Linked DNA regions of Ovis aries. The protein of the gene in region 4 interacts with the protein of the main gene of each other region in a biochemical or structural test. Links are inferred from orthologs where the notes say so. Each region holds a gene or a part of one and is shown on either strand. Other genes may lie near its edges. The genes, in order: MRPS18B, MCM7, CASP3, RB1, DNMT1, USP4 and CCNE1.

Region 1 (4,183 bases), on a different chromosome or scaffold from region 4:
AGTTCTGAGTGGATTAAAAAAAAGTAAACGCTGGATGAGTGGACTTGGGTGAGTTTGGGAAGGGTGGGTGGTTGATTATTTTTGAAGTTATGTGGTGACGGTCCTTCGGCCACAGATTTCAAGTCCCAGGCAGCGTGGGCTGGTGGGGTGGGCAAGATAGGTGGGAAGGGGCAGAAGACACAAGTGGTTGGGCTGGTGGCTGCTCTTTTCCCTTTCCCCCCTCTCTCTGGATCCTTTCAAGGGCTTAGATGTTGCTGTGCTGCGGCTTGTTTCTTTTCTCCTGGTGGCCGGCCTGTCTTTCTCCGAGAAAATTCAAACCTGGGATAAAAGGAACACAAGGGAGAAAGATGTAATCAGTACGGGCTGCTATTAAAACACCCAAAAGTACCATTTTTGTTGTCCCCAAACACTTCCATGTCCCACCCCGAATACAGCCGCTTAATACGAATCATGGCTCTCAACTGAGCCCGCGTTTGACCCGTTCCCCAGGCCAACTCTCCGAGCAAAATTTTACCCACCAACCGACAAAATGGCAACACTTACCTCTAAACGAACCCCAGAATGGCGGCTGCCCGCTCGGGCGGAGTCTTTTATACGAGGACACCGCCCAACGCGCCCAAACGTGCTAGTGAAACGCCCCCTTCGCGAGACAATTTGCGCGAGGCGTGAATTCATTGGTCAACCAGGGAAACCACTCACCAGCTGATTGGATATCCGGCCTTAACCTTCGCTCAGCCCCTTCCCCCGGGCACCTTCTTCCGCCTCCTTCCTTGGTTGGGGGTGGGGGCCCTAACGCGTGCGCGTGACCAAGCAGCCTAGTACCTCCCTTTCCTCTGCTTCCACCACTTCCGCCCTCGAGAACATTTCTCAACAAGGGTTGGTAGAATCGGCCCGGCGCATGCGCAATGAAAGGATCAGGGTCAAAAGCGACTTCAAAATTGCTTAAAACACAGACTCTAAGAATGAGAGTGAAAAGTCATAGTGACTGGTTCAGCAAAAACGCAATTTTAAGGCCGAATTCGATTGTGACGCAGTTGAAATTGCCCTCTCCCTACGCCCGCCCCTCACGCTTCCGTCCTGACGCAGACGCGCGTCCGCCTTCCGCACTGCGGGGTCGTCCTTGGCCCCACCCTACTCTGGTTCCTGGAACATGCGCAGTCTCGTTTGCGGACGTGCCTGCTTTGCGGGTACGTCAAGATGGCTGCCTCCATATTGAACGTGTTGCTGAGGCGCCTTCCTAACATTTCGCCCTTCAGAGGTGCCTACGGAGTTCAGGTAACTCCTTGGGGCACATTTTGTACAACCTCAGATTTGGTTGTACTTTCTCTAGGTCGTCGCTCCACTGCCAGGGATCCTGGAGCGGAGAGCTTCCCAAGTGCTTGTACATTGGCTGTCAAGGAAACGCTCTGCTTCCCCCATCCTCCCCCTTCCCCTCTCATTCCTCAGCACAGCGCGTTTTCTAATCTTGAGACAAGGGTAAAGAGCCAGGGTTGGATGTCATTCTCTTCCCAGCTTTCCATCTCGGCCGGATATTTAGGCGATGGAATGTGGACCCCTTGGCCAAACACAAACCAACTGTTAACTGTATGGTGGTGTCTAAATCTTTGATGCCCAAGGGTGTCATTGGGTTTTGAGGGACACTAACTACTACCAGCCCGGCTATCGCTCAATAAAGCCAGAATACATTCTCACGACCAGGGGACCAGTTTCTCGGCTCTTTATCTCACTAAATCAGTTTCTTCCTAAAGCATACATGGGAGCATAACTACTTTGGATGGAGGTTTCCCCTCAGTCACACGTACTCACCACCCTGGAGATTCTTGATGGGGCAGCGTGATATTGGAGGGCTTGCCCATCTGCCACTCCCTAAAGTGAGACTGAAGAGTGATGAGAGGGGCTACCACAGAGTTAATTATAGACTTGGTAGCTTGGGACATAGCGTTAGGACTCACGTTTGTTCTGCCATATGGAATGTTGACCATCAACTTTTTATAAGACCGGGCAACTCAGTGATTCAGGATTCAGTTGAGTTGGGAGACTCACCTGTCCTTTACATCCTTTTCGTAGCACACATCTTGACTCCAAGAAGATAGACATTCTCCCTTTTTTCTCCATTACCCTGAGTTCATCTCAGGAAGCACAGAAACCTTATGTGTGCCAGGTTTTTGAGTTGTATTTTCAAATACATTTGCTTCCCAGTCACCTATCCTAGTTATCTTCTAATGTTACCTTTTTTTGCAAGATCCAGCTGGAGGCAGGGATACCGGTTGTTGATGGTGTAGATTTAATAAACCAGTCAGTTCTTGTGCTTGAACTCAGTGTCTCGTTTTCCCTCTGTTGTTCAGTCGTTCAGTTGTGTCTGACTCTGCGACACCATGGACTGTAGCACACCAGGCTTCGCTTCGCTCTCCTTCACTGTCTCCTGGAGCTTGCTCAAACCTATATCCATTGAGTTGGTGATGCCATCCAACCATTTCTGCTCTGCCCCTCCTTTAATAGGTTCCCCTCTGTTGCTGACGGTGTAAGTTTAATAAACCAATCATGTTGTGTCCTTGAACTCTTGTCTCATTTTCTCTCTGCCCCTTCTTTTATAGGTTCCCCTCCAGACTCTTTGCACCAAAGCCCCCCCTGAGGATGATTCTCTGCCCCCAATTCCTGTTTCCCCTTATGAGGATGAACCCTGGAAATACCTGGACTCGGAAGGTACTTGTTTATTTTTTTAATATTTATTACTTATTTGGCTGTGCCAGGTCGTGGCTGCAGCATGTGGGATCTAGTTCCCTGACCAGCAATCCAACCCAGGCCCCCTGCATTGGGAACGCATGATCTTAACCACTTGCCTAGACCACCAGGGAAGTCCCTAGAAGGTACCTCTAAATGGACAAGAGGCGCGTCAAGTGAGGTCTGAAATAAGTGGACAGAGACAGCTCACCACCATCACCCAGGAGTAGCTTGTATGGTCTTTTCATTTCAGAATACCACAACCGCTATGGTTCTCGCCCTGTCTGGGCTGACTACCGTCGAAACCACAAAGGTGGAATACCCCCACAGCGGACTCGAAAGATGTGTATCGTGAGTTTCTGAGGATGGCACATGGATGGGATGTGGAGTGGGGCTGAAGGCCATAGTGACAGAGGCAGCAGTACGTTCTCTGACAGGGCTTTGAACGTCTTCACCTGCCTGTTACTTTTCTCTACAGCGTGGAAATAAAGTTGCTGGGAACCCCTGCCCCATCTGCCGGGATCAGAAGCTGCATGTCGACTTTAGGGTAAGGAGAATCTTGTCTTCAGTATAAAAACTTAAAGCCTCTTTGCAGTACTAAAAGAGATTACCTTAGGTGCCCCATTCTTCATATCCTGGGCCCCTACAATCCATTTTGCATTGACTTTCTGGCAATGTGAAAACGTTACTCTTTTCAGCTTTTAGTATTTACTTACTGATGGCTGTGTTGGGTCTTAGCGGCAGCACACGGGCTCTTCACTGTGGCGAGGGCGTCTCTCTACTGGAGACAAATGGACTTAGTTGCCCCGAGGCATGTGGTATCTTAGATTAAACCCTAGTCCCCTTCTTCGGAAGGTAGATTCTTAACCACTGGACCACCAGAGAAGTCCCTCCTTCCAGACTTTTGCCTTCTACTGTGGGTTATATATAAAAGATTCATCTCTTACTTATGAAGTTTACAGTCTAAATCGGCAAGAGAAATGCTCATTTCTAATGAGAGGGAAATGCCCAAAGTTTCATTTGTATCAATCAGTTACTTCCAGATAGATTGGACTAGTTTTTTCCTGAGATTTTCTTTATTTTGTTGTCATTGATGTTTGATTGCATGTTAAGACTTGGGCTGGGAGGGCAGATACACGAAACAGTGTCTAATCTAGTTATTAAAAAAAAAAACAACCTTCATTTTGAGGAGGAGAGGACTTGTTTCTTGAAGGATTCAGAAACTATAAAGATGACAGTGGAAATGTGCCCTTCTGCATTTGCAGTATTAGAAGATGGTAGAGCAGAAACTGGCTGGTCATCAGGGAAGTTGGAGGGCATTCATATGTCAGTCAGCAGAGGCAAGTATCTGATTGGTTCCAGGCTTTTTCTGATACAGGTTGTAGAGGAGTCAAGGAGATATTTGTCAATTTCAGCTGTGTATTACTAGTTACCAAAAAAGGCTGTAATCATTTGATACAAT
Region 2 (4,259 bases), on a different chromosome or scaffold from region 4:
ACCAGAGAAAGTCACGAGGAAGGAGCCCTCAGTCACAGGAGCCACGCCCCTCCTCCGGCAGAGACGATGAAACCTTTGGGACTGTCTTAAGCCGTGCAAGGTACACATCAACAGACACAAAGAGAACAGACTGGGTGGAAAGACCACTCCACCGTAGAGAGAAACCGAAAAGTGACCACACAGGAAACAGAAAAGGCACCAGATAAACACCAGGAGGCGAAACTCATTCTCACAGAATTAAGTGTGTTCCCGTTCTCTGCTCCACACATACCGGCTGGTAGGTTTCCGCCCCGCACTGGTCGCAAGTGTAAGTGGCCACCACCATTCTTGGTTTGACCTCAGAGACACGAGTGACAATTCCACGCACTGTTACTAGCTTCCCCACAGAGTCAGCCCGTACTTCCCGGATCACACGAGGCTTGTTACTGCTGGGGCCTTGAAAATACAGCTCACTAATGGAGAAAGTGGTCATTAGCAAGGGTCTGGGGACCTGAACCCCATGCCCGTCCCTACCGTGGTCACTCACAATCTGCGCATGAGCTCAGGAGGGTACTGGTTTTGAGGGCTTCGGGCTGCCCCCGGGTCGCGGCTCCGCTGCTCCATCATTAGCCGGTGCTCAATGTAAACATCCAGGACGTCTTTATTTACTACCTAAAGGAAAAGAAAGGAAAACAGGAAAAGTGAGCGGCAGAATGGTGAAAGGAAAGAACGTAAGAGTGCCAGGCAGAAACCACTGACTCCTTTGGGTCAGCTCGGAGAGCATCAGTACCCAGGAAGTTTCTCAACACAAACCCAAGTTGTGTGCCCTGCATTTTTCTCACCTCCCTCTCCTTGTATTGAGGCAGCAGCTCTTGAACAGCATCAGCAAAGAGCCTGGCATAGCGCTTGGTGTTCTCACAAATTGAGTCCACCAGCTCAGGGTCATCCTCAGCAATGTCATCTAGGTCTACGTACATGGCCACTTGCTCCCGATGAGCCAGTTGAACCTGGGGTGGGGAAGAGAAAGCAGCGGAGCCAAGTTTATCTTACCAGTGTTCACAAGCAAAAATTGGTCATTACGAGCTCAGCACACAGGATCCAGGCTCCACAAGGGAGAAAGGTGTGTATCACTACGTTTGCAATAATCAAGGTGTTTTCAGGGATTGAGGAAGCTGAAACTGAGTCCTGTCGAGTCTCACTTTGCTTTCTCCCAGGTGGCACAGTGGCCAAGAATTCGCCCACCAGCGCAGGAGACACAAGAGACATGGCTTTAATCCCTGGGTCGGGAAGATTCCCTGGGGAAGGATATGGCAACCTGCTCCAGTATTCTTGCCTGGAAAATTCCATGGACAGAAAAGCCTCGTAGGCTAGTCATAGGGTCGCCAAGAATTAGACTGAGCACAGACGCAGCACAGTGATACACAAGTATCAGGTATGGTGCTAAACTCACCACTTCCAGAAAGACATACCTGCTAAAACAAGCCAGGCCTTATAGCTCGTCACCACCCCTTCCCTCTACCTAACCTTAGACTCACCAACTGGTTCCCATACTTGAACTGCTTCTTGCCAGATTCGTCATCCTGGTAAAACTCTTGTAGGAACTTCTTCACTTTTTCTGTAAAGAAAAATAAAGTCAGGACGGACTTTTTTTCATATACCTTACTGCAAACCCTTGATAGAGATCTAAAAAACTTACTTTTGTTTAAAGTGAAATCTTTAAACAAATTAAATGAACATTCAAATAGACCTACGTAATTCTCCCCAACAGAGCAAAACTCCTTTTCCCAAGTCTGTGTTGACTTAAGGAAGAATAAGTGGCCCCTAGCAGTTTAGAGTATTACCCAATACGCTCCCCCCAGGGGAATTCCACTCTCTGCCTTAATTAGAAATCTCAGTACCCTTTTCTAAGGGCCTTCCACACACGGCAACACACTCAAGTCTCACGGTTCTCAGCTTTCCTTTTACGTGCTTTATTCCCCCTTTCTTTCGGTCCCTTAAATTGTTGCTCTCCCGGGGATCTCCGCCACCAGGCCCTTCCTCCGCCCCACCCCCTCTCCCGCCACTGCTTCCGCTCTTAGTAAACAAAGAAGCACATGGGCCCAGATGCCGCCGCCTCACAGCCCGGGATTCCTCCGCCCGAGGAGGGAGCCCGTCCGGCGATTGGCCGGCTCGTCGAGGGCCACCCTGCCCCACCCGACCACTTCATCCCTCGGCCTCCGCAGAAACCCCTCCAATTCCAGGCACGCCCCCACCCTCGGTCGCTCTCTCCGAGGCCACCGCGCGGAAGGACACTGTTTACACACGACACTCCCTCCAACAGCGTCGCGCAACTTCCGCCCGCCTCCACTTCCGCTAGGAGGTGGACCTAATGCGGCCCAATCCCCGCGCGCAGCGGCCCGGGACCGCCCGCCCCACCCTACCCCGGGCTTCGGCGCGTCGTGGGCGCTGGGAGTGCCTAAGCGCGCGGAGAAAAGCGGGACCGGGGGGTGCTGGTTAGATAGGCCCCTGAGGGCCTGCTCTTTCCTAGACGCGACCCTTCCCTCTGGAGCTTCCAGCTCGGGTGTCCGCATCCCCTCCCCATGACTCTCACTCTTTTCCTCGACACGATCACCAGCTCTCCCCCGGCCTCGGCGGCCCGTGCGCACCTCAGGCACCATGCGCCTCTACTCCGCCACCTCCCTACCCTGCCTCCGGCCTCGCGCGCCGAGAGCCCGGCCCCCCGGGACTCCAGCCCACACCAACAGGTGTCGCCCAGGAAGCTTCCCGCGCAGAACGCCCCTCCTACACTCGCAGACTCTCACCTTTCTCGAGCACGTAGTCCTTAAGTGCCATTGCTGCCGAGGACCGAAAGGCAGCAATTGGCGGGCTCTGAGCTCTCACTCCCCGGCCAGCAAAAAAACGCCCGCGCGGCGGACTGCGGCCGACCAACCGAAATTGGCGCGAAACGTCGCCCCCCACGTGACCAGCGCCGCCGCTTGCGGGCCAATCGGAGAGGATGCCCTTCGTCCCTCCCGCTGGCCGCGGGCCCCAGCCTGGGCCAATCAACGGGCGAACCTGGGCTGAGTGACGGGGAAGAGGCGCGGGTGTTTGGAGGGAAGGCCTGGGCGAGGCGGGGCGCGCGCCGGGTTTCCCGCGGTCGGAGGAGAATCGCTCTTAAAGGGCCAGGCTACTCGCGTCCTTTTGTTCCGGGGCCGCAGGGCGGGGCAGGCCCAACGTTTGCTGTCTCCTAGTCTATTCTCCAGAACGGCCATGATTTCCCAGTTCTTCATTCTGTCCTCCAAGGGGGACCCGCTCATCTACAAGGACTGTATCCTTGGCCAGCGGGGCGGGGGGAGAAGGGCTGCGTGGGACTAGAGCCCCAGTGCCAGCGAGTGTCGCCAGCTCCTTAGCTTTCCTTCCACTCGGTCAGTCCGCGGAGACAGCGGCGGCCGGGATGTGGCCGAGCTCTTCTACCGGAAGCTGACGGGACTGCCTGGAGACGAGTCTCCGGTTGTCATGGTAACCACTGGCGGGAGTGGGGGTGGGGTGGTGGGTATGCGGTTGGTGGTCTGGGGTTGGGAGGCGCCTCCTCCAGGAACGTTCTCTAAGAGCTCATACGCGGTGTGGAAGGGGGTACATTCTTCTAAATAATATTAATGGCGGTTTACTGATCGCTAACTGCACCAGGCGCAGCTCTTCACACGTTTCAATCCTCAGCCACTTTGGAGTAGGTACTATTACTAACTTCATTTACACATTAGGAAGCTGGGCCTTGGGGAGGTTTCGTATGTGGCCTAAAGTCACGCTGCTAGTAAGTAGGGAAATCAGGATACCAGCCTCAGTCTCATGGCCAGGAATCACTGCAGCTTTCTTCCTAACGTTTTTCTCCGTGCCTATGCCTCAGCACCACGATGATCGTCACTTTATTCACATCAGACACAGCGGTCTCTATTTGGTGGCCACTACTTCAGAAAACATTTCTCCCTTCAGCCTCCTGGAGCTGCTCTCCCGGTGAGGAGGGCAGGGCTGGGCACCCGGGTGCAGGGGTCAGGGAGTCAGAGAGGAGGAGTTATGCACCCTCTGTCTGGGTTTTCGCAGGCTGGCCACTCTTCTGGGTGATTACTGTGGCTCCCTAGGGGAGGCGACCATCTCTCGCAACGTGGCTCTGGTCTACGAACTCCTGGATGAAGTGCTGGTGAGGTTCCTCCCTGTCCCCGCTTCCCTGAAGATACAGTATTCGTTTTCACCCCTTCCCCCACCGACTACCCAAAAAGTGACTTTCCGCTGCCCCCTAGGACTAT
Region 3 (3,430 bases), on a different chromosome or scaffold from region 4:
AGAAATTACAGATTAGCAAAAGAAACAAATTTAAATCATTCGTAATCACACCACTCAGAGACAATCAACAATAATTTGGAGCTGGAAACATCTAGTTGTTTGGGTTTTTTTTTCATATGTGTTGCTGTTGCTGCTGCTAAGTCACTTCAGTAGTGTCCGACTCTTTGCAACCCCATAGACAGCAGCCCACCAGGCTCTGCTGTCAATGGGACTCTCCAGGCAAGAACACTGGAGTGGGTTGCCATTTCCTTCTCCAATGCATGAAAGTGAAAAGTGAAAGTGAAGTCGCTCAGTCGTGTCAGACTCTTAGCAACCCCATGGGCTGCAGCCTACCAGGCTCCTCCACCCATGGGATTTTCCAGGCAAGAGTACTGGAGTGGGGTGCCATTGCCTCCTCCATATATGTTAAGTTTATCTGAGTGCCTTCCCCCTGCTATGCCTAATACTTTAGATTTTTAAATCTGAGGGCATTGTTCAGTCAGTCCATACATGCATGTGGAAGGTGCTCTAAGGGATGAAGAAAGTCCAGGACTACGGGGTACAGGCCACACAGCAGCTGCAGAGCCTTGTTCGAGTTCTGCTGGACTCTTCTTGCTGTGGGTCCCACATCTCTGCAGATGAAGCCGGTCATGATCATGGTTTCATGGTCGTCGGAAGGCTTAGACGCTTTTGAACAGTGTTAATGTGGCCTAGTGGTTTATGGGGTTTTTTTTGTTTCCCCCAAAAAGATACGATGAAACTACTGATGTATCTTAGAATTGTTGAAAACTTAGAATCAAAGAAATAGTTGCTCTGAGTGTGTGAGGTGTGTGTTGATATATACGTCTGTGTATGGTGATGTGTATGTGTTTGTGTATGTTTATGTGTGTGTGTATAATTTTTTCTTAAAAGTAGGATCCTTTTATTTTCTACTCTTTTTTTTTTCTTTTAATAATAGTGACCATTTTCCTATGGCAAAATTTTGTCTACAAAATTTCAGTGGCAACATAATATCCCATATTATAAATGAATTGTAATTTATTTAACCAAACCTCTCTTTTTAGGCATTTAAGTCATTTGTTTATCACTATCTAAGCAGCTGTGAAAAACATCTTTGTGACTGTAACAGAGAACACAGATAACAGATTATATCATGAAGTGTCTTGTATACGAAGAAATGAAAGCGACTTAGTGTCACCACTGTCAGAATATTGAATTTCCTTAGCATTTGAAAGGAAGAGTTTCTTGTGGATTGTGTGGATCCCTGAATAGTTCATTTCAAAGCAGTTTATCTTTTTTTTTCATGCAATTAAAAGTAGCTTTCTGTTCAAGGCATGGCCTGTCGGTCCGGTACAGACGTGGATGCAGCAAACCTCAGGGAAACCTTCACGAGCTTGAAATACGAAGTCAGGATTAAAAACGATCTTACACGTAAAGAAATGTTGGAATTAATGAGCGACGGTAAGAAATAATGAAAAGAATGACCTTCATTTCCAATGTATGTACAATCTAGCTATAACCTACATGAAAGTAAAGCATGAGAATTGTGAAACTAAAGAGTACACAGCCCTACTCTGTACATTTTATGTAAGTCCGAGTTATTCATACCGACTCCCTAGAGTAGTCTGAGGTGTGTTGCTCTGCTGCTCTGCCCCAAGCTGGGCTTACACGATCTCTTAGTTCAGTTCTCAGATTTCTTCATCTTACTCCCATACAGTACATATGAAATTGTTGAATAAAATTGCATTGGTTTTTTTTGCCTATAAATGTTTTTCCAGTTTCTAAGGAAGACCATAGCAAAAGGAGCAGTTTTATTTGCGTGCTTCTAAGCCATGGTGAAGAAGGAATCATTTTTGGAACCAATGGACCCGTCGATCTGAAAAAATTAGCAAGTTTCTTCAGAGGGGACTGTTGCAGAAGTCTGACTGGAAAACCCAAACTTTTCATTATTCAGGTAATAGATAACTGAGCGATTTGGTTATTGAGGCTTCTTTAGGGATTAATTTACTCCATTGTGGATTATCCAAAGGATTTTTAATTTTTTTTTTCCTTGAAGCTACTAAACTATTGCTACTTTTTTATTTATTTAAACCACTGCTTAGGAGACATAGCATAAACTTTAATTTTTAGACTTCTAGCAAAATGATTCTTAATAATTAACATCAGTTTTTATAGAGCCTTTGCATTTCTTAGGGATAAGTTACACATTTATGCATGTACACACATTTTTTTCCAATAAATGTTTCTTTTCTTTTTTTTTCTAATTTTTAAATAGGTGTTTATTTTCTAACCTCTAGGCCTGCCGAGGCACAGAACTGGACTGTGGTATTGAGACAGACAGTGGTTCTGAGGACGACATGGCCTGTCAGAAAATACCAGTTGAGGCAGACTTCTTGTATGCATATTCTACAGCACCTGGTAAGAAACTTACAGATACTGAAATAGGTAGATTTTAAACACTGAAGAGTGTGTTCCAAAGGCTATAGGGATTTTGATATCCATAAAAAGCCACTGTGTCTTGTTTTAGGGTGCCCTAACCACGGAGAAGTCTCAAAAAGTTGTCTTTAGCCCAGTTTGGCTAGAAAATGTGCCTGTGTAAGAAAGCACATTTGCACAGTGTCATTCATGAACTTGACACCACCTGGAATCCATATTATAATACAGGCCAAGTCAGAGCTTCGCCCACTTCCTAAAATAGGAGAGAGGTGTGTTTTCCAGGAATTCTTTGGGAGCTAGGAAACTGAAAGGATAAACATGAATAGCATATCAGTGGGTAGAAGTGGAACAAGAGAAAATAAGGTTAAAAATGATTTATGGCTAGGTTATCAACCTGCGCTTTGTCTCTGGTTGTATTACACGTTATGTGTGTGAGCGCTTGTCATCATATAAATTAATATATATTGATCATGGACTTGTTTACTCATACAACTAACTCAGGGTGTGTTTGGAAATACAGGGCAAGTGTATTTTTAAACAGTATAACATTTTTAAATATAGTTGATATGATTTATTTTAACCTCCAGGCATCTTTCCAGTTCAGATTAAAAGCAGTGGATCCAGGGACTTCCCGGTAATCCAGTGGTTAAGACTTGGTGCTTTCACTACTGTGGGCCCGGGTTCCATTCCCAGGTCCAGGAATTAGGTCCCCCAAGCCACTCAACGTGGCCAAAAACACAGCAATGAATCCACTAGTTTATCTGGGAAAATAACGATAAATACACTATTTCCCCTTTTTGGACTTTTGAATATGCTATAATGTGTTTATTATACTCCATTCTTTCCCTGTAGACAAATTTAAGACCCTCAAATGTATGTGCGTACATAAGCAGGTTGTTGGATAAGCCAATCATCTCACTGCAACACCATGCTACTTATAATGATCCTTTTTTATTTCTTTGCTTTTGCATTTTCTGCCTATAAACCTGTTCTTCCCTATTGGAAGGGAAGCCCA
Region 4 (4,442 bases):
AATACACCATAATATACACAGAAAATGATAATCCATTGTATGGCCCACAGGGATAAACCCAAGAGCTACCACTTGCCTGAAGGCATTGGCTGCCTCAGCCCTGCTCAGCTGTTCCAAGGATGAGGGAATTCACGTCAGAACACAGCTGTATTTTATTCATAGCACCTCAGTTGGGAAGCTCCTAGCGGGCAACCCACAGCATCTGCCAGTGATACAAAAGCAGATACTCAAACTAGGCAATCTATTAGCATAAGTAAATACCAAGAGACAGGAGACACAGTTTCTAAGTCAATGTTTGGCCATAGTAATTCCTGCAAACTCTTTTCTGGTGTCTTTGTGCCTTGCACATGCTATTTCTCTCTTCTTGGTGTTTTCTTTAACACAACGTATTGGCTCAGACGGTAAAGCGTCTGTCTACAACGCGGGAGCCCTGGGTTCGATCCCTGGGTTGGGAAGATCCTCTGGAAAAGGAAATGGCAATCCACTCCAGTACTATTGCCTGGAAAATCCCATGGACAGAGGAGCCTGGTAGGCTACAGTCCATGGGGTTGCAAAGAGTCGGACACGACTGAGCGACTTCACTTCACTAATGGATAAGTAGAGTCACATATATCTCAGTTCAAAACCTCTACCACCCATCGGCTGTGTGTGTTTGTGTGTGTGTGTGTGTGTGTGTAAGTAACTCAGTCGTATCTGATTCTTTGCGACCCCATGGACTATAGCCTGTCAGTCCATGGAATTCTCCAGGCCAGAATACTGGAGTACTGGGCAAATGAATTAACTCCTCTGAGCCTGTCTTCCCTATCCAAAGTGTAATACGACTACAACTCATTTTAAAGGGCTGTTTCTGAGGATTCGGTAAGATAATGAGATAAAATGGCCAGAACAATCCCCTGTGCACATAGTAAGTCCTCCTTAGATGTGAAGTCCGTCTGGCAAACTTCTACTCAAATGCCCCTGCTCCTCTGAAGATGTCCTTAAGGCGTTTCGATGGTGCTTCCTGGTTTTACGCTACTATTAAAACCGCGCAGCACCTTGTCATCAGTTCTTTGCCCGCAGCCCCCACCCCTCTTCCCTCAAAGAACTCTCAAAAGGCCAGTTTCGTCGTCCCGTACTTGGTCTCCGCTGGTAGTGGGCAAAACCCAGCTCCTCATAGGTGTCCCAGAGGCAGTTTGTTTTTGTTTTGGCTGACTTCGCTTAACGGATTGGGCGGGAGGAGCGCGGGCGAGCGGGAGGGCGCCGCCCACGGAGGAGAGGGGCGTGCCCGCCCCGGGTGCGCTCGCCCGATACTCCCCGGCGGGGGCCTCGGCCGCAGCCCCGGACCCACCCGGCTATAGCGAGGGAGCCCGCGCGCACCCACCGGGCCGGGTAGCGCCCTTACCCGGCCACCCACGCCCGCAGGGGCGAGTTTCGAGGCGAGGCAGGCTGAGGCGGCGGCGGCGGCCGCTGCCTCCGGGCGGGCGCCTGGGTTGCAGGCCCGGGGCTGCCCGCCCGCCCGGCGCGCGCCTCGCCTCGCCTCGCCCAGCACCCCGGTGCCCTCCCGACGCCGGCGGGCCCGCGAGCCTCGCGGACGTGACGCCGCGGGCGGAAGTGACGTTTTCCCGCGGTTGGACGCGGCGCTCGGTTGCCGGGCGGGGGAGGGCCGGCCCGGTTTTTTTCTCAGGGGAACGTTCAAATTATTTTTGTAACGGGAGTCGGCCGAGGACGGGGCGTGCCCGAGGTGCGCGCGTCCTCTCCCTTCTCCGGCCCCACTCCAGCACCCGCCGGCGCCTGCCCTGCGAGCGCGTCATGCCGCCCAAAACCCCCCGGAGAGCAGCCGCCGCCGCCGCCGCCGCCGCGGAGCCCCCGCCGCCGCCGCCGCCCCCTGAGGAGGACCCCGAGCAGGACAGCGGCTCCGAGGACCTGCCTCTGGCCAGGTGAGCGGGCCGAGCCACCGGCGGCGGGCGGCGAGCGGGGAGGGCGCCCCGAGGCTGCGTCGGCGGCAGCCGCGGCGTCTAGGCGGGGGCGCGTCCCCGCGGGGCGCCGGTCCCGGCGGGAGGACGGTCCCCCCTCTACCACCCCTCGCGGCGGAGCGCCGGGAGGGAGCTGACAGGGGTCTGGGTGCGGGCGCCGCCTGGGAAGGGCGGCCGGGAGGGGGGTCTCGGCTCCAGCTTGACAGGTGTCGGGCGGGTGGGGCTCGGGTCGCTGAGCGAAGTGACAGGTGCCGCCTTTGCTCCGCGAGACGGCCCTGCGCATCCGGCGGGTGTTTCGAGACCCCATCACACGCAAAAGAGGAAAAAAAGAAAAGAACTAACTGGTGTTTGCTGGATAGGTTTTTTTCCCCGTTGAGATTTGTAGTCCTCCAGTGGTCTTTTGACTTTCTCTTTTGGTCTCTAGCGATGCAACAGTTGGAAGTGCCCCCCTCCCCCCACCGCCCCCGGGCGCGCAGCTGTATCTGAAGCCCAGTCCTGGGAGAGACAGTCAGAAAAGCCTTGGGTGCAGCGGCAGAGATGCCCGCGGACGTGAAGGGCAGGGTCCTGGGTGTCGGTTACCCCCCAGGAAGCTCGGCTGAGGCGCCTTGTGGCGTTCTCTTAGAAGGGGCTTTTCGGTCTTGGGGATTCATGGCCATAGGTAGTGACTGGTGGAACGTAACTCTTTAGAAAGAACTCGTACCTGGGCAAAAATATTGTGAGACGTTTAGCCCAAGAGCTTAAAAGTTCCTGAACTTTTCTCTTGTTTTCTAGAACTCTTCTTGCGTATTTTCGTTGGCTTCAGCGTGCCTCGTTATTTCTTCCATTTTGCCTTTCGGCTTTGAGCCAGCAAGGATCCTGGTGTCCTTGTTTTTTTTTGTTTTGTTTTGTTTTGTTTCGTTTGTTGGAGTACAAAACGAGTGTTTTTGTGCTCACGTGGAATTATTTTTCTTCTCGTAAGTGGATTCTAAATTTTAAGCAAGTCTACGATAATGCAGTGGAACTTTGACAGGAAGATAATGTATTGCAACATCTTATTTTTCTTGATTGTGATGCTTTATGGTTAGAACCAAAAATTGAACGAGTATAATTATCCATTATTATTGTCAGAGTTGGCCCTGCTTTGAGACTGCACATCAATTACAGGGAAATGGGACTCCTTTCTGTCTCCCTCCCACAGTCCTAGCCCATCAGCAGGCCCTATTTCTCTCACCTTCCCCTGCGCTAAGAGAATTCGGGACAAATTGTTAAAGATTGGGAAAAGCTTTTGGAAATGGCTTGTGAAAGGCTATTAGAAATTCATATATGACTGTCTTATCAATTAAAAATCATTCTCACTAGTGGGAAAAAAAAAGAAAGCCCAGGGATGTTCTAGGAGAAGACATTAGTTTCTGATTAAACTCTGATATGTCCAGTATTTTCCAGTTTCCTTTTGGTAAGAGCAGTGAAGTCTACTGCAAAGAACCCTGTGTTATCCACAGAGCTCGGAAGCATTCTTGAATATTGTGGAGTAACCAGAAATACTGAAGTTCTGGCCAGCACCTGGGAAAAGAAAGTCTTTTTTCCTTCTATTTTCCAGCATTTCATTTTATATACTTTAAATGATGAAACTATCACAAATTCTTTAAGTCAGAACCATGCAAGATAAAGTCTGTTCTTGATCTATCCTTACCCATAAAATGTGTCCTTATGGGCTATCAAACTACTGGTTAACTACTTAACAAAGATAGAACCACTGCCTGGCAGTCTGAAGCTGAGAACTTTACCTGGGGTGGGTTCAGGGCCCAGTCCAATTGCATTTCCAGTGATGGAGCCCATGCCTACTTTGAGAGTTGAGAGTTTACTTAAGGGAAACAGCACACCATCTTCATTCTTGAGATAACCAAAAGTTAATTATGTTTCAGAGAAGGGTTGGCAGTCTGGAATAGTGCTCAAGGGCAAGGATTATAGAGTTAGATTATTGGGTTTCTATCAGGGTTTCTGACATACTGTTTGTGATTTCAAGTGAGTGCTTTAACTTCTCTGATTTGGTATTTATCTGTAAAACAGGGTAAGAGGACTTACCTAATAGGCTGATGTGGGGATTCAGTCTACCTTCATCTAAGGTACTTTGTCTGGGATCATAATAAATACTAAAAAATTATTAGCGATTCCTTGTACTATTATTATTAGAGGTCAAGTAGACATTAACTGATTGAAAAAGAATTAGCCAAGAAGAGTTTTTTGTCTGCCTGTCTTGGTTAAGGAAAATCAGAAAGAAAGCTTGAATTTAATCATCATCTAAGAACTACTAGTAAGTAGATTAAATAAAACACTGTGAAGGGTAGACTGCATTTTAGCAAAAGTTAATGATATTGAATTGGTTTTGTAATATTATCTATTGCTTTCCTCTTGCTGTTAACCAACCCAACTTTCCCAGTTTTAGCTCTTGTACTTACTTTAAGCTACTTTGCTGCTCTGAAGTATGTGATTCACCAGACCAGCAAACATTTT
Region 5 (3,712 bases), on a different chromosome or scaffold from region 4:
ACAAGTTCTACAGGTTGGTGAGGGCTCTGCCCTCCAGGGGCCTCTGCCTGAGTCATGGGAGGTAGTGAATCGCACACACAGTGGTGGTCTAAGGGGTGGAGGAGGTAGTCCTCCCAGGTGTTCCTGACTACCTGGTGGGTGCTGAGGATCACTACAACTGTGTAACACAGCCCTGGATTCCTGTCTTAGAGCTGCAGAGCTTTGTCCAAAAGAGATCAGTGAGCGAGGTCCAGAGTGCGACCAAGGCAGGCATGGCATATCCTGGGCTCTGTCTGAGGCGCCATCAAAACCCTGATATCTGTTTAAGTTGCCCTTGTGTTCCGCCCCTCCCTACTGCCAGTCCTCCTGTCCTTTCCAGGCCTTCTTCTCCGTTTCTGGGGTTTCTCTCTGTCCCAAGGTCTTGGCTTCACTGAGTTTTGGGGATCCTGATAGTACTTAGGAGCTTAAACTGAAGCTGATCCATACAGATAAGTCTACAGTTGCTCCACTTCTTAGCTAACATACAGGAAAGTTTTTCTGAAGTCTTTGAAGTAACAGGTACTAAGAGAACAAGGAATCTGGCAGGCATAGGGGGAGGAAGGCAGCTCTAGACATGCTTCTCAATAGGAGGTCGGCACCTGGTCTCAACCCAGGCCCACCCAGTCTTCTTGGAGGCATAAAGAGCAAGCAAACCCTTAGTTGAGATCACAGTAAGAAATCCCACTTAGTTTGTGGTGTTTAGTGCCGACTAAGGGGGTTAGTAATCAAGGTGACTTAGTGAGGCATGGGGCCTAGTCTTTACCCTCTGATCCTATGAGCACATCCCCAGGAATATGCCGTTTAATTCATTTTCAGCTTGCGACAAATGAACTAACAAAGACTCTTGCACTCCCAGGCCGGAGAACACACACAAGTCTACCCCAGCCAGTTACCATGCAGACATCAACCTGCTCTACTGGAGCGATGAGGAGGCCGTGGTGGACTTCAAGGCCGTGCAGGGCCGCTGCACTGTGGAGTACGGAGAGGACCTGCCTGAGTGCCTCCAGGACTTCTCTGCTGGTGGCCCCGATCGCTTCTACTTTCTCGAGGTGGGGCCCTGGGCTCACTGCAGGGAGGGCCTCTGGGTCAGACACAGCGCCCGAGAAGTTTACTTACCCAGAGCATGAGTCTGTGACACTCACGTTGATCTGGAATTTAACACTTAAAGCAAAATGAAATATTTTAACATCCTCATGCAATAACTCAGACCTCCCTGGTGGTTCAGACGGTAAAGAATTCACCTGGAATGTGGAAAACCTGGGTTCAAACCGTAGGTTGGGAAGAGTCCCTGAAGAAGGGAATGGCAACCCACTGCAGTATTCCTGCCTGGAGAATTCCATAGACAGAGAAGTCTGGCGAGCTACAGTCCATGGCATTGCAAAGAGCTGGACACAACTGAGCGACTAACACACACACACACACACAAATAACAATTTTTGTAGACTGTTAGGTGGCCTCTGCTGGTCTGGCCAGTGTCTATGAGTTAGGAAAATGGACCTCTAGGCCCAGGAGATGAATCCCTGCCCCCAGTCCCTTCAGCCTCATAGCTGAGCTTGTGGCCTGGTTATTGAGAGAGAGAAGAGCCAGGAGTCTGTTGATTTAAGCTAATCACTTTAAAATTGTTTGAGCACAGCTTCTTTGTGACAGGCATGTATGGTCTTAAGATAACCCGTGTCTCCCCCAGGTTCTGGTGCCTATTTTCAGAATGAGTAGTCCAGGTACTTAAAATAGCAGGAATTTCTGTCAGGCAGGTAAAACATTTTTATTAATAGACTTTTCCCCTTTTCTCTATTAGAATCAAAGCCCTCTTGGCTTCTGGCCATACTTAGGAAGAAATGAAGTATATTCTTATCAAATTAACTTAAATCCTATTTGTTAGAGAAGGGAACTGATGTTTCTCTTCCAGACCGCTGTGGTTCTTTCCCCCTCAGGCCTATAACGCCAAGAGCAAAAGCTTTGAAGATCCTCCGAACCACGCCCGGAGCCATGGAAATAAAGGGAAGGGGAAGGGGAAAGGTATGTCGTGGTGTGCCATTCCCCCAGGTTCCTCTTCAAGTCTGTGTCCTCTAGCTCGGATACTCATGAGTCAATCAGTATGGAAGAGCAACCTCTGATGTTACCTCCTCAAAACGAGGTGGACTCTGAGTCACCAGGGGCTTTGAGGAGGGCCCATCAGGACCCTGCTCTGACTTGGGGTCCATCTCCTGCAGGAAAAAACAGGACGAAATCTCAGACGTGTGAGCCGAGTGAACTGGAGACAGAAATCAAACTGCCAAAGCTGCGGACCCTGGACGTGTTTTCCGGCTGTGGGGGACTGTCAGAAGGCTTCCACCAAGCAGGTACGCTCCGGGGGCGGGTCTCTCCACACAACCTGTTAAAAACTGGATCAGGCAGGCTGTGTCTGGAAGACCTCTGTGGCCCTGGCCACAGTTCGGACTAGAGAGTCTCTTTCTGAGGAGTTCATGACACGTCTGTGTCCTTGTATCCCCCACCTAGGCATCTCGGAGACACTTTGGGCCATCGAGATGTGGGACCCTGCGGCCCAGGCGTTCCGGCTCAACAACCCTGGGTCCACGGTGTTCACAGAGGACTGCAACGTCCTGCTGAAGCTGGTCATGGCTGGGGAGGTGACCAACTCCCGCGGCCAGAAGCTGCCTCAGAAGGGAGACGTGGAGATGCTGTGTGGTGGGCCGCCCTGCCAGGGCTTCAGTGGCATGAACCGCTTCAACTCTCGAACCTACTCGAAGTTCAAGAACTCCCTGGTGGTCTCCTTCCTCAGGTAAACAGAGCTAAAGCCCCTCTGCGTTCAGTGCCATCCAAGGGCAACTAGATGGCCTGCCCTTGTGCTGCAATGCCTGGTGCCAGGGCCAAGCAGTCACCGCTTTAGCCTTCGCTCCTACAGAAGGCCGCTGCTGAGCGAGGCACCACTCTCAGCCTTCAGGGAGTTCACGGCTCCCTCTCCACTAGGGAGAGACCCTGAGAGCCGGCAGGTTTGTCTTGACAAGCGTCAAAGCAGTTGGGAGTGACTTCTGGCCAAGGAGGCCGCCTTGCTCTCTCCAGGCGTGGGGCTGACTCTCTCGGTCACTCCTGTCCCCCACAGCTACTGTGACTACTACCGGCCCCGCTACTTCCTCTTGGAGAACGTTCGAAACTTCGTCTCCTTCAAGCGCTCCATGGTCCTGAAGCTGACGCTGCGCTGCCTGGTCCGCATGGGCTACCAGTGCACCTTCGGCGTGCTGCAGGTGCGCCCAGGTCGGGGGCAGGCGGGGGCAGGCGGGCGCACGCAGAGGCCAGAGGCGGGGGCAGCCATCCCTGGGCAGGGGCAGACGGGCGCACGCAGAGGCCAGAGGCGGGGGCAGCCATCCCTGGGCAGGGGCAGACGGGCGCACGCAGAGGCCAGAGGCGGGGGCAGCCATCCCTGGGCAGGGGCAGAGGGGCGCACGCAGAGGCCAGAGGCGGGGGCAGCCATCCCTGGGCAGGGGCAGAGGGGCGCACGCAGAGGCCAGAGGCGGGGGCAGCCATGCCTGGGCAGGGGCAGACGGGCGCACGCAGAGGCCAGAGGCGGGGGCAGCCATGCCTGGGCAGGGGCAGACGGGCGCACGCAGAGGCCAGAGGCGGGGGCAGCCATCCTGGGCAGGGGCAGACGGGCGCACGCAGAGGCCAGAGGCGGGGGCAGCCATGCCTGGGCAGGGGC
Region 6 (3,712 bases), on a different chromosome or scaffold from region 4:
CCCAGCCTTGTGTAGCGACTTGTCTGCATAGGAGGTTGGGCATTCTGGCAGCACCCGGGACAGGCCTTAGATGTTTGTTGAAGTCCCCTGTGTGCCACAAGAGTGTGTCCCTTGGCTCTGCCAAGCCTCACTTAAGGAGCTGCCATAGTTGTTGGACTTCTCTGCAGCATGAAGATGAGGCTCAGTGAAGCAAATGCTCTTCAGGATTAGAGAAGGTACATTTCTGTGGGTGGTTGAGAGCCTGGGGAGCCCTCTTTCCCTCTCCCTTGCTGTGACTTCAGAGTGTGAAGCAGAACTCAGTTTCTGACACCCACTGAGGCCCCTAAATAGTCCCTGACATCTCCCTACAGTGTGGGTACAGGCTCGCTCATCTTTATTGCCACACCCTACTTTCTTCTCACAGGGAGCCCTGGTTGACATCGGATCCCATGAGGCTGGGCACTCTGCAGGGACAACACTTAATTATTTTCTCTATTCTAAAAATAACTCCCAATCTGGAAGGAAAATCACCATTGTATGTATTTGAAACATGGAAACATTGCAACATTGCGGATAACTCATTTCCTTCTACCTGTCTTAAGTGGATTTTGGTAGAAAACTTGATAAAATTGTTGTCAATTTAAGATTTGGGGCAATTAGCACTTGAGTTAATTAGTCCAAAATTAGGAATGAATCTTAAAATAAGACACTGAAAAATACTGAAACAAAAGTTTGAAACAGGAAACATTTTCACTTTGGTAAATTTCAGGAAACAAAAGCAGTTGCCTGGAATAGCATAGTGATACTAAGTTGCCATTTTCATGTTCTGGTATACTTAGAGCCATCTGTTTAATTCGGGTCTAGTGTTTTGAGATAATTCATCTCATCACCATTTTTCTTTTTCTTTCACTGGTAAGTCTTAAAATTCAGGGAAGCTGATGATTTATCAATCAAACCAGGATGCCCTGAAGGTCAGCCTTGTGGTTGGGTTATCTCACTGGAAGATTCAGTGTAGGACCATGTGGATGAATGAGACAGGAAGACCAATTAATTTCTTTACTCTCATGCCAATAAAAATTTAAGTTGAAGTAGCGTGAAAACGGGCTGTTTGCAATTAATTTTAAATAACTGAATATGGAGAACATGTGTTTCTTGAGAAGACACCTTCTTCTCAAGCAAGCCTTAAAGAGGGCTTGCTTCTGTGCACAAAGTCAGTAGCATTGTTTGTCTTCTCTCTCCCAGATCAAGCACTGCGCCTAGCAGAAATTTTACTACCTCTCCAAAATCATCAGCAAGTCCCTATTCCTCAGTATCTGCCTCTCCCATTGCAAATGGTGATAGCACTAACACCTCGGGGATGCACAGCTCCAGTGTCAGCAGGGGGTAAGAGCAGGTTCTTTCATTTTGCTTCCTTTCCCGCCGAGTCCTCTCCTGGGCCCTCCCTGACAGCTCCTCTGCTGCTGCCCTGAGCACATGCAGGACTCGGGTTCCCCATGAGAGCCCGCTGCACGTGGCTTCTCCTTCCATTTCATCCCCCCAGTAAAGAGTGCCTCCCAGTACGTTGCTTGTCTTCCTACCAGCTGGTGTTTTCCCATCACTGCATTTGTCTGTGAAGGGATAGGCTGGCCTTTTGGCAGAATGGCTATCGGGGTGACTGTCAGCTGCGGCGGGGGTGGGGCATGGACTGCCTGCTTCTCCTCTGTGTGGCTGGGATCCTTCTTCCAGGTGTGTCAGAGCACCTGCCATAGAGCGCAGATAGAGTGGTAGAGGAAGGTGAGGTGAGAGAGTGCACGCACACTCAGGCACTGCCAAGAGCAAGCGTAGCCGGGTGGGTGGTGGCAGGTGCAGGCTTCCATCCTGGTAACCACAGTGCTCTTCCCCAAAGTCACCTGGCAGTTAGCCCTCTGGAAGGATATAGAATTAGCATTTGCCAAAGCCTTTGCGACCCCGTGGACTGTAGCCCACTAAGCGCCTCTGTCCATGGGATTTCCAAAGCAAGAGTACTGGAGTGGATTGCCATTTCTTTCTCCATAACAAAGCTAGAGAGCAGAGGATTCAAACAGCCTCTCTTCTTTTCCCCTTAAGGATGTGCTTACCACCTATTACCGTGTCAGGTCAAGGCGGGGTTGAGGGAGCTGGAGGGCTGGGGAGGGGAGTAAAGAGAATTTGTATCATGGGGTCATTATCAAGTGAGAATTCTAGAGGCCCAGGTGAAGCCCCAAGACGCATCTTGAGGGCATGTGAGCAGCACTCACTTGATTGCTGGTGTGGGTTGTGTTTTCCAGTGGATCTGGCTTCTCTGCTTCGTATAATTGTCAGGAGTCCCCATTGACTCACGTCCAACCTGGGCTCTGCGGACTTGGAAACCTGGGGAACACCTGCTTCATGAACTCTGCTTTGCAGGTAGGGGGGAGAGCTGCCATCTCAGTTAACATCGTGTCTCCACGGTACTTGAGGCTGGGGTGGGAGTGGCCTCTGCTGTGTCGGGAGGATCCTCTCCAGGGTCCCTAACAACCCGTGGTTAGTGCTTCAGGAATCTCTGCCAGTGCATAGCCACTGGGTGGTACAGAATGGCCTCATCAGTGTTCCTGGCTTCAAAATGTCTTCTCAGTTTGGTTTGGTTTTATAATGAAAACATTTTGAGTTTTGTTGACCCTTAGAGAATGATCTCAAAAAGTACTGGAATACATGCCTGGTTGGTCTCTAATGGGATGAGATCTCAGAGCAGCTGGTACCGTGCCACTGTATTCTTGCCTGAGGCTGACCATCTTCACCAGTGAGCTGTCTCACTCAGCTCTTGCCTATTGAAACTTTATTTATTCATCCACCAAATATTTATTGGGCGCATACTGTGTAATGGGATTGTTGAGATCATGGGCTGGAGTTAAAGTCCAGCTACAAAGTTAAGAGGGCACAGTCCCTAATAACTGCCTTCATTTCTGACACCATTGCAAGTTTGGGGGTCCCTACAGATGACCCTCAGTTTGTTAGTTTGCTCAAACTCATAGACTTCACTTGAAAGTAATTCTCCTTACAGTTACAGTGTATTATGGGAAAAGGATACAGGTTACTATCTCACAACTATAGAGGCAAGTACTGTAGATAAAATTTTAGCAGATCAAAATCAGTGAGGTCCAAGTAAAAGTAACACATAACAAGCGGGGGTGGGGGGGGGTTGTGCTAGGAAAACCAGACTGTTTTAAACAGCTGAAAAATTAAGCATGTCTGTAAATACACTGACAGAGTGAAGGAATAAACTGTGATCAGGCACTTGGGATCAGCGGCCTCTGCCCTCAGCTTGTGTTGGAATCGGTTCTTAGGCGGTGAGCTTATCTCAAGACAGTGTTCCTGGAAGGTTCACCACTATGTGGCCACCAGCCCTGGCCTTTGAGAGACTGTGCCTTCCTGTTGTGAGCCCTCCCGAGAATCTGAAGGGAGTGACCTTCATTTTGTTGGAGTGACCTTCACTGTTCATTTAGAACTGGGTTTTTCCTGTGTGTCTGTGTGCTTTCCAGAAGGCGTGTGAGCTGTGATCATTTCTCTTTCAGTGCTTAAGCAACACAGCACCGTTGACCGACTACTTTCTCAAAGATGAATACGAAGCCGAAATCAACAGGGACAACCCCCTGGGAATGAAAGGGGAAATCGCAGAGGCCTACGCAGAGCTCATTAAGCAGATGTGGTCCGGCAGGGATGCTCACGTGGCACCTCGCATGTTCAAAGTAGGTTGATA
Region 7 (4,161 bases), on a different chromosome or scaffold from region 4:
GTAGGTATTTTCAAGTGATGATAGTTCAATACTTGTCTCCTTAGCCTGTAAAATCCACAAGGGCTTGGTCACCATGTGTTCCAAGCATTCCTTCACAAGTAAGATTGAAGTGCCTCCCTTCCTCCAGGCACTATGCCAAGAGCTGGGGGATACAGCAGTGAACAAGACAGACAAGGCAGGGAGAAGAGAACCAAACACGGACAAGAAACATATGGCAGCAAGTGCTGTGCAGGAGCCACAGCAGGGCAATGTGGTGGAGAGGAACTCCTGGGGAAGACCTGGAAATTCTCAGGAAAGATGTAGCTGGAAGGAGCCGGAGCTAGGGACAACAAAATCCAAGGTCCCGAGATAAGAAAGGACAGAGGATGGCCAGAGGAGCTCTGATGGGAGGCAGTTGAAGGAAAGGTCTGAGAGGGGGTGAGGGTAGGTCCACGTGGAGTTCTGTAGGGCATGGAGTGTGGCTTTGATGCTTAAGGTAAAGAGGGCCGCATGGAATCCCAGCATCAAAGAGGTCTTCCGATGCTCAGGGGAAAATCTATGGCGAAAGGCACACATGGAAGGTAAAGGTGCTAGAGTATTAGCTGAATGAGCATGGACAGATGGATGGACGCACGTCCAGGAGTAACAGCTGTTCCACAGGCGGCCCCGATCTGGCGGCCTGAAGCCCTGGTTCTAGGCTCTGTGACCATGCGCTGTGACCTTGGGCACATCCCACCCTGACTCAGGGCCCGGAAACCTGCGTCTCGGGGGCGGAGGAGACGTGCAAGGAGAGACAGTGCGCGCGCGCTGCAGGCCTACGGACGTCAGGTCTAGTGGCCCGACCCCTCAGTCGGGGACCGAAGCCTCGCCGCCCGCCGTGTTTACATTCCACCAGCGCCGGCCACGCGGCTTTTTGCCGCTCCAGCGCCGCTCGGCTCCGCCCCCAGAGCCCCGCGACCCGCCCCTCCGCCGCACTCCCGCCAGACCTCCCCCGCGTCCCGGCCTGCGCAGCCCCGCCCCACCGCGCGCGCCGGCCGGCCCCCGCGTCCCGCCCCGCGCGGGCTCCGCAGCTTGGGCGGTGCAGGCCCCGCCACGGCCCCAGGGCCCCTCCCCTCCGGCGCGCAGGCCCTGTCACTTAGCCCCGCCCCGCGCTGGCCCCGCCCCGGGCGGGCCGGAGCGCCTGGGCGGGCCTGCGCCGCGCAGGGCGGTCCTGAGGGCGGTGGCTGGGCGGGGCCGAGCCCTCTGGCTGCCGCTGAGGGGCTCCGAGCCGGCCGGGGCGGAGCGGAGGGTGGCGGGAGGGCGCGGGGGCGGTCCGGGGGCCGGTTCCGCGCGCTGGGATTTTTAAATGTCCCGCTCTTAGCCGGGCGCAGGAGCAGCCGGCCCGGCCGCCAGCGCGGTGTAGGGGGCAGGCGCGGATCCCGCCACCGCCGCGCGCTCGGCCCGCCGCCGTCTCCCGCCTCCTGGCTTCCCGCTCGCCTCTGCCTCCTGCCTCCAGCCTCGGCTCGTGCCGCCTGCCTGCCTGCCTGCCTGCCGCGGAGACGGCTTCGGGTGAGGACCCTGCCTCGGGCTGCCGGACTGCGCGGCGGGCGAGAACTCCTGGAGCGCCCGGGTCGGGTCGGGCCGGGCCCGGGTGGGGGTGGGGCGAGGCCGGGTCGCCGGGTCCCCGGAGGCGTCAGCGCGGGGTGCCCCGGTAGGGCGACTCAGAAGCGGGCTCCGGGGAGGTGTTGAGGGGAAGACTGAGGCAGCTGGGGGTCCCCAGGGAGGCAATGGGCCGGCGAGAGTTTCAGGGGGCGTTGAGGCCCCCCCACCCACCCTGGGTTCCGACCCGGCGTCGCGGGCCGCTGGTGGCGCCGCGGGTGACAGGCCACCCCGGGCCCATCGGCCATTTTCCCGACCGGCCCGGGAGGCTCCCGCCGCCGCCGCCCGCGCGGGAGGGGGAGGGGTGCTCGGGACGGGCCGGCGGGCCCTGGACCCCTCTGCTGCCGTCCTCACCCCACTGCCGTTTCGTGCCCCCAGGCTTGAGGTCTGATCCTGCGCCCAACGCCATGCCGAGGGAAAAGGAGAGGTGAGTGGCCTGGCCGTTGCGGGAAAGGGGAAGGTGTGCGGTGGTGGGGGAGGGGTGGGCCGAGATTTGGGTAGAACTCTTACCTCTGTGCCATCCTGGTTTTGCAGGGATGCGAAGGAACCGGATACCATGAAAGAGGAAAGTGGCACCGATGTCTCTGTTCGCTCCAGGAAAAGAAAGGCAAATGTAGCCGTTGTGAGTACAAAGGAGACAGGTGGGGGAGGATGCCCCCCCCCCAATCTTAACTGGGTACCAGAATGGGTTCTACCCATGTATTTGTTGATAAGGGATCAAGAGTGGGGAGCTTTTGGCAGAAATGGTGATCATAACCTTACTAGCTTTCTTTTTCTTCTCTGTGTCTGTGTTTTTGTCTTTGGGCTGTTTGGTGTGTTTCCTTGGGGTATGGGGGTTGTTTTATGTTAGTTTTTGCAGGATCCAGATGAAGAAATTGCCAAAATTGACAAGACTGTGAGAAGCCAGTGTGGCAGTCAGGTAGGTACATTTTCTGATTGGGTCGAAGTTGAGGCTCCCCTTGTTTGGGGTCACATTGAGTCTCATACTTGCTTGCCTCCTGCTGAAGGCTTTTTCTCCAACTATGGCCACAGTTCATATAACTGAGCACTGTGCCTGTCAGTGGGCACTGACCTCTGCCAGTCTTGGGATTCCAGGAAGGACTGTGTTCCTGACTGACATCCCTGAGATTACAAATATGCGCTGATGTCTGGAAGAACCAGAATGAACCTCACATAACTCAGTCCTCTCCTTTTGCCCTTGAGGAAACTGAGATTCAGTTAGAGGAGGAAAGTAACCCAGAGTCCTGTGCAAGCCAGGGGCGGAGTCTGTCCTATAGCCTAGGCTGTAGGCTAGTGAACTGTGGGAGGGCTCCTGACACACAGCTCTCTTCGGGTAACTGTGATGATGGGGGTTTGTGTGTGTTCATAAGCAACTTCTCCCCATCCACACTTGTGTTTATTTCCTCATGGTGCTTAAGGACTTCCCTTTCCTGCTCCCACCCCCTTCAGGTCATGTTTCAAACTTTTTCCCCCTTTTTGATGGTTCTTCTAGCCTCTTCAGCAATTACGTACAGTGATAACTGCTGCCTGGAGTTTGATCTGACCTCCACCAGAGTATTAGTAAGACATTCTGTGTAATGATACGTGCATCTCAACACATTTTTAAAACTGACTAGTCAGTCCATTTCTCTTGCCCCTCCTTCGTGGAGTTCCCGCCATATTTCTTGCATGTTCACGGTACCATCATAATATCAGAAGTCCCTAGCCCAAAAAGCTTGTATTATCTCTCTGCCTCCAGAAATGGCTGGAGACTGTAGTTATGGCCCCAGTAGGGGAAGCAGTCTATCTCCAAACTAACTGATTAGGCTTTCTGACACTGTAACAGATAAAAACTGAGCAGGAATAGTATTTGAGCCAAGGAAAGTGGTTCTGATGAGGTTAGCAGTGGCAGCACATCACTTTGTAGGACAGTGAGCAACGGCCATAGCGGCTGGGTCTGGAAGAGTGAAGGTCTTCAAAGCTGTGGGACACATGGTAAAGCTGTTATTGCACACAAGACCCTAGTAATTACCATTTCTGGGGAGATTCTACTTAATATTGAACAACAGCTTGATGGTTTACTTGCTGTATTAGAAGAAGAGATACTTTGTTTTAGGAAAAGAAATAAGACAGTGCATTTCAAATTCTTTCTTTTTTTTTCTTTTATTCTCCCTGTAAAGACTTCAAACCAAGAAAGTTAATTTTTGTGGGTCTCTACTAAAATGAATCTCAGCTTTGTGAAATTCAAGATTGGTTGTCTTCCTAGCTATGTTTTGAATTGGAATTTTTAACTGAGGCTGAAGCAAAGCTGTCCTTGTTGACTTCTTGGGGTTTTAGAGTAGTTTCAGTTCCAGAGATAACTGGAGCGGAGCCTGGAGTGCCTAAGACAGGGCTTTGGCCCTGTCCCTGGACTGCAGAGAGCTGATAGATGTGATATGTGAATAGCCATATTACTTCCCACTAGAAGGCATTTTCATGGTTCAGAGATTAATGACAACAGGTTTCTACACATTGTCTAAAGTAGATAGCTTGAAATTACCCATCATTTATGAAGCAGTCAGTGTC

What was found.
Region 1: the proteins of RB1 (region 4) and MRPS18B form a complex in vitro, tested with the Homo sapiens proteins (2 studies listed by BioGRID and IntAct). The link is inferred for Ovis aries from reciprocal best matches to the Homo sapiens genes RB1 and MRPS18B.
Region 2: the proteins of RB1 (region 4) and MCM7 form a complex in vitro, tested with the Homo sapiens proteins (2 studies listed by BioGRID). The link is inferred for Ovis aries from reciprocal best matches to the Homo sapiens genes RB1 and MCM7.
Region 3: of the proteins of RB1 (region 4) and CASP3, one has a biochemical effect on the other in vitro, tested with the Homo sapiens proteins (2 studies listed by BioGRID). The link is inferred for Ovis aries from reciprocal best matches to the Homo sapiens genes RB1 and CASP3.
Region 5: the proteins of RB1 (region 4) and DNMT1 form a complex in vitro, tested with the Homo sapiens proteins (2 studies listed by BioGRID). The link is inferred for Ovis aries from reciprocal best matches to the Homo sapiens genes RB1 and DNMT1.
Region 6: the proteins of RB1 (region 4) and USP4 form a complex in vitro, tested with the Homo sapiens proteins (2 studies listed by BioGRID). The link is inferred for Ovis aries from reciprocal best matches to the Homo sapiens genes RB1 and USP4.
Region 7: of the proteins of RB1 (region 4) and CCNE1, one has a biochemical effect on the other in vitro, tested with the Homo sapiens proteins (9 studies listed by BioGRID). The link is inferred for Ovis aries from reciprocal best matches to the Homo sapiens genes RB1 and CCNE1.

The regions. Positions count from the first base shown.
Region 1 is NC_056073.1:27,485,814-27,489,996, reverse strand, and holds the start of MRPS18B (small ribosomal subunit protein mS40), read left to right. Parts: upstream 1-1,174; 5' UTR 1,175-1,197; coding exon 1,198-1,275; intron 1,276-2,594; coding exon 2,595-2,703; intron 2,704-2,974; coding exon 2,975-3,072; intron 3,073-3,199; coding exon 3,200-3,268; intron 3,269-4,183.
Region 2 is NC_056077.1:36,785,448-36,789,706, reverse strand, and holds the start of MCM7 (DNA replication licensing factor MCM7), read right to left. Parts: upstream 2,910-4,259; 5' UTR 2,812-2,909; coding exon 2,781-2,811; intron 2,315-2,780; exon of another isoform or gene 1,878-2,314; intron 1,635-1,877; exon of another isoform or gene 1,595-1,634; coding exon 1,515-1,594; exon of another isoform or gene 1,194-1,514; intron 1,100-1,193; exon of another isoform or gene 987-1,099; coding exon 822-986; exon of another isoform or gene 652-821; coding exon 527-651; exon of another isoform or gene 453-526; coding exon 272-452; exon of another isoform or gene 1-271. Other genes in the region: AP4M1 (AP-4 complex subunit mu-1), read left to right, coding at 3,229-3,286, 3,389-3,477, 3,863-3,969, 4,057-4,153, 4,254-4,259. UniProt on the Homo sapiens protein: Acts as a component of the MCM2-7 complex (MCM complex) which is the replicative helicase essential for 'once per cell cycle' DNA replication initiation and elongation in eukaryotic cells.
Region 3 is NC_056079.1:14,236,143-14,239,572, reverse strand, and holds part of CASP3 (caspase-3), read left to right. Parts: intron 1-1,311; coding exon 1,312-1,440; intron 1,441-1,757; coding exon 1,758-1,933; intron 1,934-2,276; coding exon 2,277-2,397; intron 2,398-3,430. UniProt on the Homo sapiens protein: Thiol protease that acts as a major effector caspase involved in the execution phase of apoptosis. Following cleavage and activation by initiator caspases (CASP8, CASP9 and/or CASP10), mediates execution of apoptosis by catalyzing cleavage of many proteins.
Region 4 is NC_056063.1:18,457,764-18,462,205, forward strand, and holds the start of RB1 (retinoblastoma-associated protein), read left to right. Parts: upstream 1-1,586; 5' UTR 1,587-1,788; coding exon 1,789-1,916; intron 1,917-4,442. UniProt on the Homo sapiens protein: Tumor suppressor that is a key regulator of the G1/S transition of the cell cycle. The hypophosphorylated form binds transcription regulators of the E2F family, preventing transcription of E2F-responsive genes.
Region 5 is NC_056058.1:12,547,629-12,551,340, reverse strand, and holds part of DNMT1 (DNA (cytosine-5)-methyltransferase 1), read left to right. Parts: coding exon 1-13; intron 14-874; coding exon 875-1,067; intron 1,068-1,949; coding exon 1,950-2,034; intron 2,035-2,228; coding exon 2,229-2,357; intron 2,358-2,514; coding exon 2,515-2,797; intron 2,798-3,118; coding exon 3,119-3,260; intron 3,261-3,712. UniProt on the Homo sapiens protein: Methylates CpG residues. Preferentially methylates hemimethylated DNA. Associates with DNA replication sites in S phase maintaining the methylation pattern in the newly synthesized strand, that is essential for epigenetic inheritance.
Region 6 is NC_056072.1:50,827,457-50,831,168, forward strand, and holds part of USP4 (ubiquitin carboxyl-terminal hydrolase 4), read left to right. Parts: intron 1-1,221; coding exon 1,222-1,362; intron 1,363-2,264; coding exon 2,265-2,382; intron 2,383-3,527; coding exon 3,528-3,701; intron 3,702-3,712.
Region 7 is NC_056067.1:39,910,949-39,915,109, forward strand, and holds the start of CCNE1 (G1/S-specific cyclin-E1), read left to right. Parts: upstream 1-1,322; 5' UTR 1,323-1,527; intron 1,528-1,995; 5' UTR 1,996-2,024; coding exon 2,025-2,044; intron 2,045-2,151; coding exon 2,152-2,239; intron 2,240-2,467; coding exon 2,468-2,536; intron 2,537-4,161. UniProt on the Homo sapiens protein: Essential for the control of the cell cycle at the G1/S (start) transition.